2 linked regions of the Nothobranchius furzeri genome follow. Each later gene encodes a partner of the first gene's protein in a complex. Links are inferred from orthologs where the notes say so. Each region holds a gene or a part of one and is shown on either strand. Other genes may lie near its edges. The genes, in order: bop1 and pes.

Region 1 (4,319 bases):
AATGTTTTTTTTTTCTCTACCTCGAGACTGAAGAATGCTTGTCTTGACTTGAATATGGTAAGCACTAAAAGAAAGTAATTTTTATTTGAACATTTTTCTGTTTTTAGATGTAGATGAAATGATGGGAATTCCGGCTCTTTTTAGAGAGCCGGTTCTTTTGGCTCAGCTCACCAACAAGAGCCGGCTCTTTCGGCTCCCAAGTGGCTCCTCAGATTTTCTGTTGGTTGCGTAGAGTACATTTATAACCAAAATAATGCAAAACTTTATGTAAAATGATTTACTAATATAAATAAATGCAACATATCAAATATTCATCATTTCCATGGATTTAATAACTGAACACTTTAAGAAATCTCCACTTTCCGACTGCTGGCGCTCATTTTCTCACCGTCTCCATCGCACTCTCCTCTCTTGCTCTCCTTTTTCCTACTCCTCATTTCCTCTCGTCTCCCGCCACCCGCATGTGCTCTGCTGTGTGTCTGAGTCATCGACATGATCTGAGTCTGATCCTCCCTCTTCCCCGCCCCTACTGCTCTGTGTGTGTACAGTCTGGACACGCAGTTACACATGTTGACCAATCACCTGTAGCTTTCACCAAAGCAAGGGGGGAGGGGGGAGGGGACGGTTCCCAATGACGAGTCGGCTCCCGTCGTTCACTTCAAAGAGCCGGCTCTTAGAGCCGGTTTGTTTGCGACCGACACATCACTAAGATGAATGCCTTTGAAGAATGTATTCTATCTATTTGAAGTAAATGTCGAGCTCAAGGTGGCGCAACAAAACATTATTATTTACACATGATCATTCATATCTGTTTATATCCTCTGGTATTCTGTTTTTTTTTTTATCGTTCCTGGCGCGCTCCGCTCATCGTGTGCTGCGGTGATTTCACCTCACTGACGCAGCATCGAAACGCGCACTACGCTTTGCGGTCAGGAGATCCCTTTGATCTGCTTAGTTCAAAAGTAACTTGTGATGTGAAAAAGTAAGAATCCAGGCAGCAGTTTTTCTGGAGAATTTAGAGGAGATGAAGGACGATGAGAGACAGACAGGACAGGACAATAGTCACATAAAAACAAGAAAACAAAACAACGTGTTGAAAAGTCAAATGTAGGTAGATTTATCTACACTACATGTTTTTACCTGTATAAAACAATAAGTTATACACATGTAATATGTATACATCTGATACAATTCAGATCACCTTCAAAACTCAGTCACACACCCAGGGCCGTTTTAAGGCATTTCGGGGGCTAAGGCAAAACAGAACCCCACATTGAGAGAACTTTCTTCAGATGTGGGCTTAATATCCTGCCTTTAATTCAATGTTAAGAATTTAAATGGGTAGTTATCCTTTTCATTTCATATTTTTACACAGAATTTGCGTAATACACATTTTCACCCGGAGAGGGCGACACAGAGCTGCACGTTTCACCATCACGTGCAACAACATTTTACTCTGCCCCACCCCCTCTCTTTTTAAATTCAACCACATGGGGGCGCTAGCAACAAACGCGCATGTTTCCTCGCTCATAACCTGTGACCCCGAAAGTTTCCCACGTGGTTTTGTAGAGGAGAGTGACGAAAACGTGCAGCTAATCGACCTTAAAAAAGATGAAGAAAAAGGAGAAAACAGACAAAAAGCGGAGTCTTCAGGAAGAGGAGGAGGAACAACAGGTGAGGCGCACTGTCAGCGAGCACGAAGAAGAGGAGGACGAAGTGGACTGGTCAGCAGCTCCCTGTTAGCTGTTAGCAAGGCATCCTAGCAACACTTGGCAGAGCTTTGTAACCCCATGACAGTTTCTAGTTGTTATTATTTGAGGAAAAGAACTAGTCGATGCTCTGACAAACATTTGACAAATTATCCGTCAAAGAGTCATTACTAATACAGAGATGCTGTTTATTTTTATTTATTTTTTCAATTGCTACTTAATGAATGGAGAGTTGACAGCTAGTTTCAAGTAAAGATTGACCTGATGAGGGCTAAACCTTGATTTTTTATTTATTTATATATTTCCTGCTCCAGATTATTTAATTTATTTCGTATTTCTTGCTAACAGATCCAAAAACTAATACAGCAAATATATTTGAAGTTGTTTAAACTTTAGTACTGGGCAAACATCAACAGAAAATGATCCTACTGATCACATTGTAACGTGTTTTAGTGTAGAATTACCTACTCAGACAGTTCAATGTCAGACCTGAGAATCCTTTTTGTCCTAGATTTATTTAGATCACTGTAATAATTGTCAGCTCTGTGATGTTGTCCTTTTTGCTTTCTCCAACAGAATAACATATATAAATAGCAACAATTCCCGTTTTGTATATTTTATTGGTTTTTGGCTACAGACAAGAGTCTTGTGTGACATGTTTTACTCTACCTCAGCTCTTCAGCTTGAACGACAAACCGTTTAAGGAAGATGAGGATGATGATGATTTATCAGACAGCGTGGACAGCGTGTATTCAGGACTGGAGGATTCTGGGAGTGACTCTGAAGAAGAAGAGGATAAAGATGAGGAGGAGGGATCTGATGAGGATGATGATGAAAATGATTCTGCTGCCGATGATGATGATAAAAATGATGAATCAAATAAGAATGCAGAAGATCAGAGTCAGAAGGTAGGACCCACGAATCAGATGGCTTGCTGCTTGTTTTCCCTCTGATCAACATTTAGTCTCTCGTATTTTGGCCTCTGCAGAAAACAGTAAAAAAGAGCAAAAAGAAAGAAGAGACTGAAGAAAAGGACGTAAAGAAAGAAAATGAGTACGAGCATGACAGCTCAGATGAGGAGGTGGGACAAAATCATCTTTAAAACGTCTGTTTTTTGTGCAGTATTGTAAAAATAGTATTTCTCTACCGTTTAAAAGAAGTACTAACATACCAGTTGTGACTGTTCTGTAGGATATCAGGAACACTGTGGGGAACATTCCCATGGAGTGGTACAAAGACTTCCCTCACATTGGCTACGATCTGGATGGGAGGAAGATCTTTAAGCCAATCAGGAACAAGGATGAGCTTGACGAGTTCTTGGACAAAATGGAGAATCCTGAATATTGGTGACCAGGCTAACATAATGCATCATAATCCACACATTTAAACACCGCATGCTAACGTGAACATGAAAATGTCTACAGGAGAACTGTCCACGATAAGAAGACGGCGAGCGACATCGTGCTTTCAGACGAGCAGATAGAGCTGGTGAATCGTCTGCAGAAAGGACAGTTTGGCGACGTTCACTTCAACGAACATGAGGTGAAACTTGGTGTTTAAAGAGAAAGCCAGTAAATATATCAGCAGAATCAGTGAAACCAGGTTTTTTTTTTCTTCCCCAGCCTATGGTGGAATTCTTCAGTAACGAGGTCATGATTCATCCAGTCACAAACAGACCTGCAGACAAACGCAGCTTCATCCCTTCACTGATAGAGAAGGAGAAGGTAAAAGAATGTCTTCATCAGGTCCACCCACCTCCACCTGCCTGATGTTTAACTGTCTGTCACACCTGTCCACAGGTCTCTAAACTGGTGCACGCTATCAAAATGGGCTGGATCAAACCTCGGCGGGTGGAAGACGACAGTAAAGGTCGTTTCTATGACCTCTGGGCCAGCGAGGACTCTTCTATTCTAGCCAAACACAGGATGCACCTTCCTGCTCCTAAAATCCCTCTACCTGGTCACGAGGAGTCCTACAACCCCCCACCAGAGTACCTGTTCACGGACGAGGAGGTCTGTCAGCCGGCTGCTCTTCTTGTTGGTGCTTGATTGCTTCGGTCTAACCCGTCTCACTCTCCACAGAAAGCTCTATGGGAGCAGCAGGACCCATCAGACAGGAAGCTGCCATTTATTCCAAACAAGTACTCGAGTCTTCGTCAGGTTCCGGCATTTTCTCGGTTCATCCATGAGAGGTTTGAGCGCTGCCTCGACCTTTACCTGTGTCCCCGCCAGAGGAAGATGAGGGTAACGGCCCGTTAGGGGGGGGGGGGGGGGCTGATGATGTAACGCTATGACGGAACTGAATTTCTGTCTGCCTGCAGGTAAATGTGAATCCAGAAGATCTGATTCCTAAACTTCCCAAACCAAAGGACCTGCAGCCGTTTCCAACAACTCAGTCCCTGGTAGAATAAACACAGATGCATAAAAACTCTCCTAAAGGTCAGATGAAGTCAAACTTAGCCGTCTGTTGCCTCTGTACCTTTTATCTTCCTGTGCTCAGGTGTATCGAGGTCACAGCAGTCTGGTTCGCTCCATTAGTGTGTCTCCATCAGGACAGTGGCTCGCTTCAGGTGAAAACTCTCATCTCCTGTCTGTTGTCATTTAAATTTAT
Region 2 (3,514 bases), on another chromosome or scaffold:
GACTGGTTTGGAGTTGCCAGAGAAAAAGCTCCATGTTTCCTCTGGGAGGTTTTATAAAAGAGATCTCACCTGGAGTTCAGCAGCTTAAGTTTTAACTGAACTCACAGCAAAATGATCCACGGATGCACATGTGCAGAAACAACTTGAGTCCAGCTAAAGAAGATCCCATTCAGGTTTTTTACCGCTGTTTTCATGCAATAACTGTATTAGTGTTCTAGTGTTTTGGTGATTTATGGGCTTTTTTCTGCTTTAAATAGTTTATTTTGATCATAAAACATGAACCAGGCTCCGTGATCGAAACGTAAAGCAATAATTTAGCAACAAAATCTATTTTGGTTGAAAATTAATTGGCCTAATAATGTTAGTTAATGATTTGTCTTCTGTTTAATTAGAATAACACTGTTTTTCTACAATAGAGGATTAGAGGTTAATGTGTTCATGGTTGTGCCTTTTTCCTTTTGACTGATTTAAGTTTGGAGAGAAAAACATTTAAAGATTCTTTGAATCGACCTCAAAACTACTTTAATTTAAAGTTTCACTGAGCGACTTTAAACACATAAACATCTGGATTTGTCCATTTGCATCAGGACCGCATCACAAAAATGACTGAGAATGTCAGCTGACTTGTTTTAGTTTGTATAGTTTATAAGTTAATAAACTTCTTATGTTTTTGTGATGCATACACTTGTTTTCTATGTGTGTTTTAGTTCTGTTTGGATTCAGTACACTTGTTTAAGGTTTTAAATCTGAGATATTTCTGCTGATTATTATATATCATGTTTGTGTCGTCTACCTGTTTTAGCTCAGGTGAGTACAGTTGATTGTTCCCGCGGCCGATTGTGCTAATTGATCTTTTCCAGGAGGACGTGGAGAAGATGGAGGCCAGAGAGAAGGAACAGAAACAGCTGGAAGCTCAGAAGAAGCTGTTTGACGGTCTGAAGATCTTCCTGAACAGAGAAGTTCCCAGAGAGTCGCTGGCTTTTATTATCCGGTGAGGCTCGGCCACGGGACATTTAAATCTCTTTGGGAATCTGTTGATGTTCTTTTTTTATGACTTTTAATTTCCCTTTTTCAGGTGTTTTGGTGGCCAGGTGTCCTGGGACAAGTCTGTTAGCATTGGGAGCACGTTTGACGTGACAGATGAGACCATCACACACCAGATTGTTGACAGACCCAATTTTGACAAACAGTACATCAACAGGTAGATAAATCTAGCAGTTCCATCATTTTTAGCTTTTTAGGTTATTTAATAGCATCAGGAACTTTACTTTTCTTTATGAAAACACCTGGATCCTGATTACAGGAAGTCTGCTTCGGTTTCCTTTACTTTAGTGTCACTTTTCATCTCTTTCTGTTCCCTCAAAGTGACCCAGTTTGAAATAGATATTCTCATCACTACTATTTCATGATCAGAGAAAACAAAGAGAAGCTTTATTATAATTTTCCTCTTACCAAGAGTATTTTTATATATTTTTGTTTCAGGTATTATGTCCAGCCCCAGTGGGTGTACGACTGCGTCAACGCCAAAATCCTCCTGCCCGTGGAGGACTATTTCCTTGGGGTGACTCTTCCCCCTCACCTGTCTCCTTTTGTGGAGGAGAAGGAAGGGGACTATGTTCCCCCAGAGAAGCTGAGGATCATGGCCCTACAGCGAGGAGAAAAACCTGGTGAGGGTCAGACGCTGACCTATGAGTTATTAGTCTTTGTGTCAAATTATTAATCTTTCTTTTGAAGTGAATCTTAAAAAGTGCTTTTTTCATTTTGTTGCAGCTCAAGAACAAGAGGAGGAGGATGATGAGGAGGAAGAGGAAGACGAGGAGGAGGAGGAAGGTGGTGATGATGAAGTTGATGAAGAGGAAAAAGCAGAAGAAAAGAATCTCAAAAAGATGGAGGAGCAAAAATCTCAGGGCAAGGTCGGATCACGTTTGATTTTTGCATTACCCAGTCTTTTATGTCCTGAATCTGACCCGGTTTCTGCTTTTAGTCCCTGCAGGTTAAAGTCACACCTGGAAAAGTGAGGGCAGAGAATCCGGCCCGCCTGGAGCAGGAGGAAAAGGCAGAGGAGAAACGTCTCGCTATTATGATGATGAAGAAAAAAGAAAAATACCTCTACGACAAGATCATGTTCGGGAAAAAGAGAAAAGTCAGAGAGGTGGGTGTTATCGCAGTGTGAACTCTCACGTAGATAACGTTGTGATTTTAGGTTTTTGTACGTTTTTATCAATAAATCTTTATCTAAGAATGTTTAACACTTTGTTTAAGTTGCTGTTTGTATAAAAGTAGATTAGCAGTGACCTCTTAGGTCACTGACCTCAGAAGAGTGTGTGTTCATGCACCTGCGCATGTGTGAAGTGTCTATTCATTAACGCTGATCAATCTCTTCTTACAGGCCAACAAACTGGCAGCCAAGAGGAAAGCACACGATGATGCTGAGAAAACAAAGAAGAAGAAGGCTAGAAAATAACTTCTCGTGACGCTCGTTTCAAACGGACTCTGTGTTGAATGGTTACAGGCTGATGTGATAAACCCTGCGACTGCACCGGAGAACCCTGCTCGGTGCATGAACGCTGCATATTTTAACACAGAAAAGCAGGATTCTGCATATTTGTGTAATTGATGTAAAAATAGCTCCCTTCATTTTTGTTCTGCATCATTTAAAGTCTTCATTTTAATTTCTGTGCTTTAAAATCTTTTGCATTTTTAAATAAAAAGATGATGTATTAAGTTACCTACTTGTATTATTTGGTAATGAAAATTAGTGAATTTGTGGTGGCGTGTTAATTTTATCCATCTCTTTGTAGCTTTACATCTCATCAGCAGTATTTATGAATATTTTCCATCAGAGTTTACATTAGTTCACTGGGGCGAGGGCTTCTTTGCTGAAGCGGTGGGTGTTGATGACGATCCTCCAGCCTTCTGATGTGGATAAGTGATGCTGTGGCCCAAAGGCCAGCTCCGACATCCACATCACTCCTCGTCCTTGCTCACTTTGACACACTGTCCTCCCTTTAACCCCTTCGTTTACACCCAGCTCTGCATTCCACGTGTGCCCACCCAGATTGGATCTCAGCCTGGTACCAGAGGGACAAGGCACTCCCATCTTTCACAATAGTAGCAGTGTTTGTGCTACACCATGGTGTGTGTGGGATGAGCTGGAAAGATCTAGTGTGTCTTCTAGGAATCCTGACTACATTATAAAGAGAGATGAAGCTCGTGAGCTGGACTGGGTAAGGCACCGTGTGACTGCATGTTGCCACATCCTGTCATGCAGAGGCAAATAGACTCAGACAGGAATGTTTGTTTAATCCTTTGAAATTACTGTTAACAAAGAGAAAACCTCAGGTTAGGATTTCATGAAAAGTGTCTAAAAAATGGTGGATTTAAATCATTTTTAAGTAAAGAAGAGATCAAATCAGTTGTTTACAACTGAAGATGAAAGTTTTTACATTACAGGCTGATGATCTATTCATGTATTTAGCTGATCTGTTGTGTAAAATTTAAACACCTTATTGCG

What was found.
Region 2: bop1 (region 1) and pes share a complex: the UniProt entries of both Homo sapiens proteins name them as parts of the peBoW complex. The link is inferred for Nothobranchius furzeri from reciprocal best matches to the Homo sapiens genes BOP1 and PES1.

What each region holds. Positions count from the first base shown.
Region 1 is NC_091759.1:9,339,427-9,343,745, forward strand, and holds the start of bop1 (ribosome biogenesis protein bop1), read left to right. Parts: upstream 1-1,507; 5' UTR 1,508-1,611; coding exon 1,612-1,674; intron 1,675-2,383; coding exon 2,384-2,617; intron 2,618-2,697; coding exon 2,698-2,790; intron 2,791-2,900; coding exon 2,901-3,055; intron 3,056-3,133; coding exon 3,134-3,251; intron 3,252-3,331; coding exon 3,332-3,433; intron 3,434-3,508; coding exon 3,509-3,721; intron 3,722-3,790; coding exon 3,791-3,952; intron 3,953-4,029; coding exon 4,030-4,110; intron 4,111-4,208; coding exon 4,209-4,278; intron 4,279-4,319. UniProt on the Homo sapiens protein: Component of the PeBoW complex, which is required for maturation of 28S and 5.8S ribosomal RNAs and formation of the 60S ribosome.
Region 2 is NC_091757.1:45,266,278-45,269,791, reverse strand, and holds the end of pes (pescadillo), read left to right. Parts: intron 1-860; coding exon 861-991; intron 992-1,075; coding exon 1,076-1,201; intron 1,202-1,482; coding exon 1,483-1,667; intron 1,668-1,770; coding exon 1,771-1,913; intron 1,914-1,984; coding exon 1,985-2,152; intron 2,153-2,389; coding exon 2,390-2,464; 3' UTR 2,465-2,728; downstream 2,729-3,514. UniProt on the Homo sapiens protein: Component of the PeBoW complex, which is required for maturation of 28S and 5.8S ribosomal RNAs and formation of the 60S ribosome.